2 linked regions of the Bombyx mori genome follow. The protein of the gene in region 2 interacts with the protein of the main gene of each other region in a pairwise test. Links are inferred from orthologs where the notes say so. Each region holds a gene or a part of one and is shown on either strand. Other genes may lie near its edges.

What was found.
Region 1: the proteins of carbohydrate-responsive element-binding protein (region 2) and max-like protein X interact in binary tests that used the Caenorhabditis elegans proteins (3 or more experiments, as listed by UniProt). The link is inferred for Bombyx mori from reciprocal best matches to the Caenorhabditis elegans genes mml-1 and mxl-2.

What each region holds. Positions count from the first base shown.
Region 1 is NC_085115.1:6,335,915-6,339,638, forward strand, and holds the start of max-like protein X, read right to left. Parts: upstream 2,908-3,724; 5' UTR 2,159-2,907; coding exon 2,083-2,158; intron 1,950-2,082; coding exon 1,873-1,949; intron 1,480-1,872; coding exon 1,369-1,479; intron 283-1,368; coding exon 85-282; intron 1-84. UniProt on the Caenorhabditis elegans protein: Transcription factor. Binds to the E box motif 5'-CACGTG-3', probably in a heterodimeric complex with mml-1.
Region 2 is NC_085116.1:9,455,028-9,458,691, reverse strand, and holds part of carbohydrate-responsive element-binding protein, read left to right. Parts: intron 1-185; coding exon 186-378; intron 379-1,205; coding exon 1,206-1,327; intron 1,328-3,664. UniProt on the Caenorhabditis elegans protein: Transcription factor that binds to the E box motif 5'-CACGTG-3', probably in a heterodimeric complex with mxl-2.

The sequences.
Region 1 (3,724 bases), on a different chromosome or scaffold from region 2:
AGATTCAGAGATCTCATCATCTCAATAAAATTAAATGACTTATAGTCTCACGGGTTTTCTTAAAAAAGTTATATACATACATACCACTTGAAATTTGTCTTGGTCCGTCAGCCTTTGCTCATTCAGACCAGGTACGGAATGTTGAGCTTTAACAATTTGTTCATAATTTGCTTGCATTATACGAAGAGCGACAACATCTTTACGCAATGCATTGCGCTCTTCTTCCTGTCTACGACGCTGTTGTAACAAATACTGGATGTAGTCAATTGATTTCTGAAGGACCTGCAAGTTAGGTTAACTTATTAAGAAGTGTAAGCTTTTTTTTTTCCAGAGTTTAAAATTATAGACAGGATAGTAATAGTTACATGTAATAATCAAAAGAAGCAAATATTAAAAAAATATGGTTTGTATGTTACTTGAACAATGCTGATATTTTATAATTTGGTTTATCTGATTGAGGAAGGATGATTTTTTACACACACAGTTACAATGGTGTTGCCCAATTTCACTGAGTAATACATCAATGGTGCATGCAGGCTTTTTTTTTTTTTTATAGTTAGTTAATAGTTCAAAAACTGTTTAACTGTAATATGTTTACATTTAACAAGCTATCTATTTTATTTACTTTGTCTGTTTATTAATTTAAGTGATTACAGCAGTTTTTGTACAAGCATTTAGGTAAAAATCAGTCTCAATTGATAATCCAGCCCAAAATAAATAAAATAACTAAAAACAGAACAAATTAAAGTGAACAAGCACTTTTAAGGTTTATTGATTAATTGATATTATGGACCATATGGTGTTATGAAGAATCTGGAGCTTGAGTCATAAGGTTTAAGTCTCAATTGCTTAGTATAACAGCTTTTCTACCTTTCAAACTAGACTGCTCTGTTATGGAAAAACGGCAGGAACGGCAGTTAATGAGAGTAGGTGTTCGTACTACGCTGGTTTAATAGATACTCGGAGAAAATATACAACAAATAGGCAAATACCACACAGCCAGAGTTTGAATAACAGGTTAAAAAGCTTGTATACCAATATTATCCTTTCTAAAAATTTACTTCAATTATAACCTTTAAGCTACGTTTAAGGTTAAGACACAATTATTAATGAAGTTAGAATGCTGCCACCCATTGTGAGATAGAAGTTTCTAATTATTTTTTAAGATAATCTGGGATAGCTATGATCACATTATATAATAATAAATATTTGCGCAGCAGTCCTCAACTATAATAAATATCATTATTTGTGATAACACAGCCCTAACATATCTGAATGATAAAGTCTACAAGGTTGTTCAAATTTCATAAAATTGATAACCTCTTATTTACACATTTAACAATTAATTTGATAAGAAACTTAACATACTGCAGCTTTGCTTGGTTTGTAGCCAGACGCATCACTCTGCTGACAAGTAGGCACAAGGTCTTGGAGTGAATCATAGCCTTTCTTAATTGCATCTCTTCTTTTCTGCTCTGCCTGAAAAATGTAAAAGTTAGATAAAGACTATTATAAAACCAGTATTTTAAATTAAAATAAAACTATCAGTTCTTGTTCTTTGAGTGCCCAAAATGCACCCACAGGAAGAAGTACTCCTGATACCTAATAGTTAATAACAATTATGTATTAACATAGAGAGAATATGAAAATAGCCCAAAGAAAATATATAGGAAAGTCTACTGAGTATATTAAGCCAATTCTTTTTTTTTGTTTAGTGATAGTGTTTACTTTCACATTCAACAAGTGTGCATTGCTACAAAAACTATCATTTCCATTTAGTAAAAGATTAATAATCTGTATTATAAATTCAGTAGTCCATTTAATTTTTGTTAAATCATCTCTTAATAGCAGTGATTAGGTGATATTACTAACCTGTGTGTGAGCTTCCCTTCTTCTCTCTTTGAAACTGAGTGCAGATGCCTTGTTGTCACCACTGTCATCTTCATCCTCTATACAAAATAATAACATTCACAGTAGGTACAAATATATTTCATCCATTTGTTATCAATGAGTGCGAAACGAAAATACAAATATGTCGCTTAAACAAAAATATGTAAAACAAGTTTTAGAAAAAGTCATTACCTGTGTTTTGATTTGAGGAGGACGGCGTTTGATGTATGTTTTGAATAGATCCGCTACTGCCACAACGAGGATACATATTGGGATATTAATTGTTATAATGAAACTTTAATAAAATAAAACATTACATTAATGCGATCTTTCACTTTTCGGAGTTCATGGTGCCTTGTTCCATTATTTCTATGTAGGGTATGAAGAATACATTGATAACATTATAAATATAAGATAGTCTTGGACAAGTACTTCATGACCCGAATTAAATCACTTTTGAACCATGTGGTTACGTAACATTTACGTAACGTAATACTAAAATCAAATTTCAAATTACTGATAACTAAAATACAGTATTATTTCCGACTTTTGGTACAATTACGTACATAAGTACCTACATAGGTAGGTACGAGAATTACGTTTAAAATTATTTTTTTAAGGGATTTTATGACCTGGTAACTAAGACCTTTAGGTCATGTCTTACTTTACTTTATATTCTTATTTTTATGAAAAATGATAATATGGAGTGAAATGAAATTAAGATGATTAATTTGAGACGTTAATCAACTGGGATGAAATGAAATAAAATAAGATGATATGGGTTGAAATATAATCTCAGTAAAATGGTGGTCATTTACTGAGATTTTTTCAGTGGACATTTTGGAGGATCTCGAGAAGTTGCGTCCGGCGGCTTTGTTTCGTTTTCCCACATTTGTGCACTTTCATAGATATTGAACAGTTAATAAACCACCGTTATTACACATTTAAATCTTAAGAAACACTAAATAGACAAAATGAATCAAATCACACAACTTCACTCCTCGCATTCCCGCCAAAAAGTCAACGTTTAAAATATTTATGTCACAGCACAGATGACTGTCAACGTCAACATTTTCTTTTTTCAATATGGCAATCGACTGCTCATGATGCCAGTTCTGCAAGCAACAGAAAATACACATATGAGTAATTTTAATTTAATCAAGCTTATAAAATCTTCAAAATTATGCATAAATTAATGTTGTAGTAGTGCTAGTTATATTTATTTATTTATTATTATATATTATAAAGGGTGTCCTAGAAAGGGCTTAAAAAGCCAAAAGTTCTAGGCAGTGTTTCTCAAAAATTAACATGTGATATCAGTTTATTAAATAAACACATACTGACGACAGTCACAACATACAGAGTTCTTACGAGTTAAATTTCGTCTTACATCTTTTTTATTGAATTAGTAGAATCTAACTCCAATCGAAGTTACTGGCGTGCTTAGCGTGCGTGTTGAATGATGGGCACTAATTCTTGTTTCAAACAGGATAGGAGGCCCAGGATTTGTCCTTCATATGTCAAAGCTGTTTATTCACATAATAATATCAAAGAATGAGTTCCGCTGCGATAACAACATAGCATCAGATGAGCCGAATGTTTATCAAATAACGTACAAGAGTAAAATAAGTATAGTATAAAGAAAAAAATTAGTAATATTCACCATATTATGTATGAAAGCCGTGGTGTTGTATTTTTAAAATGTTGCAAATTGTTGCATTTTAAAGGAATCTACATTTATTTATATATGAATTCACTTTTCGGCTGTTAAATATTAGAAAATTTGCTAATCTTCTAAAATTGATTAATGCGAATATGTAATGAATTGGAATTA
Region 2 (3,664 bases):
AATAAAATGTGTTATCTATCATTATCTTGGGGCATGACTACAAGACCTCGTTTATATTGGCCAACAGATGTCTGGAAATGAAGAAATTAAATTCTCGCACGCGCGATGAATCAACGGCATACGTTCGAAAAGTTTGAATCGAAACGGTAAGTAAGTGAACATGCAGTAAAGTGAAACGTTTGCAGGCTCGCGAGCCGTTACCGGGTGCGATACGCATGCGGTCCCGCTCGACGTCGGGCGGTAGCGGCGGCGTGCAGTCAGAGGGGGGCGGGCCCCCGCCGCGCCGCGCGCACCCACCGCCGCTCAGCACCGCCGCCTCCGAGCCCACGCTGCCCCACGCTAGCGTTATGCTCGCGCACCTCCTCTCCGCCCGACACTGTCAGTCGTTTTGCTATTTCTGCATTCTACTGTGCGTTTCAAATTATAGCGGGATTGTCAGTCCAACCTTCCATTACTGTGTACATTGCGCGTTCCATTACTGTGTACATTGCGCGTTCCATTACTGTGTACATTGCGCCTTCCATTACTGTGTACATTGCGCCTTCTATTAATGTGTACATTGCGCCTTCCCTCGCCGAACCAGTCGCTTGCGACGAAGGGCTCGACGAGTAAATTAACCCATAGATACGGCCCACTGAGTTTCTCGCCGGATCTTCTCAGGGGTTTGGTTTCCGATCCGGTGGTAAATTCTGCGAAGCACTACTCTTGCTATGGCCAGTGTTAGCAACACTCCCGGTTAGAGCTCCGATAGCTCACCTACTCGCCCGGTTATGCTGACCTAGCCTCAAGGCTACCAGCTTAGGTAGGGAAAAAAAGCGGGCCAGTAAAGTCAGTTTTGGGTCTAATTTTACACCGACTGTTCGATTCATGTTAACAAACTTTGATTGAAATGTAACTGGCAGTCTCGATCGTCCTTAAAAATTATATAACAATCGGAATATTTCGATATTTTTCTAAAATCCTAAGTTCACTACCCAGAATACTTTCGTAAACAAAAAACAAGTTTACTTCTATCATTACATCACTCGTTATTCTTCAGTACGCACGTAGAACTATGGAAGCTGGTCAATGTAGCTTTATGACAATCTTCGTCGTGTTTGAAACACATGGTGTCCACGTCTGTTACATAATTTAAAACTAATTCATGTATGTTTTGTTTCATGTACTAGATTACTTTATTCATTCGGCCTACCGTTTTATTTCAGCTCAAAGTTTATACAAACTTAATAGTAATGAAGATGTTGCCGGGAGCTCCGATCCCACCAAGTCCCCGATTAGAAGGGGACAACCGTCTCCGATCGGTAGTGACGTCATGTCGCCCCTTCCAGTAAGTCACATTGAAATTTGTTTGGGGATCTAAGTAAAATGGTTGACTCGCAATGAATAATTACGGCTTATGTGAAGATAACATAAACGCGCGCCCGACTTGTCGAAGAAAGATAAATATAGACTAAAGGTTAAGCAGTAGAATAAATAATCTTAGGATAATAAAATGACCGTTGCACTGGAGTTATAAATAGTTATTGTTTTTAATTATTATTTCATAAAAATAATACTTTACATGCTTAAGCCGCATGATCATTGGTTAATTAATGCCACTCAATCATGCTAACTAAAATTACAGCCGGCAATAGAAAACTAAGCTGAAATATTTTCTTGATCATTAATTACTTACTGGTGGTAGGACCTCTTGTGAGCCCGCGCGGGTAGGTACCACCACCCTGCCTATTTATGCCGTGAAGCAGTAATGCGTTTCGGTTTGAAGGGCGGGGCAGCCGCTGTAACTTTACTTGAGACTTTAGAACTTATATCTCAAGGTGGGTGGCGCATTTACGTTGTAGATGTCTTTGGGATCCAGTAACCACTTAATACCAGGTGGGCTGTGAGCTCGTCCACCCAACTAAGCAAAAAAATAAATAAAAAAAATTCTAATTCTAATCACAAAATTCGTTTTCGCCTTTGCATGCGTTCCCTAATTTTTGAGACTTAAAGATTTATTGAATTAATGAACACTTGTGTCGACATATTTTTCGGTTTTTTTTTTTCCTGTACTTAGGTTCATTATCTTTATATTCATAACTACTTATTATCTAAGTGAAAACGATAAAAAAAAACTTTAAGGCATAACACGTATTTATTATCTATACAATTTATTTGGATGAATACTCTGTGGTTTACTCTTTAGCTGCAAATTAATCAAATCTTCACGGTGTAAACCACTTTATTTATTACTAGCTTTTGCCCGCGACTCCGTCCGCGTGGAATAGTTACTTTGGCATAACGCCAAATTTTACCCCCCACTTCATTTACGTAGAAAGTGAAAATATTTGGAAACATTCTTTATTGGTGCTCCACTTGTGTTGGTCTTACCGTAATGTTATATACCCTATAGCCTTCCTCGATAAATGGGCTGTTTAAAACTGAAAGAATTTTTCAAATCGGACCAGCAGTTCCTGAGATTAGCGCGTTCAAAAAAACAAACTCTTCAGCTTTATAATATTAGTATAGATATGCATGCATGATCTGCGTTAGGCATGCGAGAGAGGTTAGACATGTTACATGGTATAACCTCTTACACCGGTCACTCACATGCGCACGAATACGCAAACCCGCAAGTGTAGGACGACATTTGCAAATGATTATGCAAAGTTTTCGCTACATTCGTGGTTTTCCAAGCTGTGTCGGTTTTTTAACAGACATCAAAGCGCGCGAACCGTGAACCTTCGCGTAGTCTCCCACACATTCGTTTGCCCAGTTGCGCCGACGATTGCGAATTTAATGTACGTATCGCCATTTTCATAGTTCGTGACGTCTACCGTGTGGCGTATCTTCATCAAAAGAAATCCCATAACAACGTTAATGATGTCTGGGAAAGAATTCAAAACTCTTTTTCTCTTCAATGTTCTATTGACGAATTAAAAAGGAGAAGAAATTCGTGAGACATTCGTAAACAAGTGTAAGAGGAAGCGCAAACGGGTTCGCAAATTGAGTATGCGAACCCATTTGCACAGCCGCTAGGTTTGCGAATGAATGTTTGACGGCTCTTCATGTACACGTACAATGTACGAATGTTTGCGCGCATGTCAGTGGCCGGCATTAGGCTACCCGCCAATAGGTAGGGGGGAAAGACGTTGTTTTTGTTGTAATTTTCATTTTTCATTGTATCAGTATATTGTTGTATCGTGTATGAAACTAACGACTATGTTTGCATGTTTTGTACAATGGTCAACTAATCACGCCCTCAATATTGTGATATTCTGGTCCAATATATTATATTTATGTTTACGGCATTTGCGACACAGGATCATCATCAACAATCATAGTTTGTGAATGTTAAATGTGCAACGTTGTACATTTTTTAAATCCGTTTACATAAAAAGCGTAGGCAGCGGCTTGGCTCTGCCCCTGGCATTGCTGAAGTCCATGGGCGACGGTAACCACTCACCATCAGGTGGGCCGTATGCTCGTCTGCCTACAAGGGCAATAAAAAAAAATTTTTGAAAAAAAAGTGGAAATTTAGACCTTCGATTGCATTAAGCTGTATTAAAAATAATCTTGCAAGTAGTTACTACGCGTGTGTTGGCCTCGTTTTTTATTTATTAATTTATTAAAAAATCACTGATAACGTTTATTGGATTTGGTATCGTTTATGTTACAATACAAT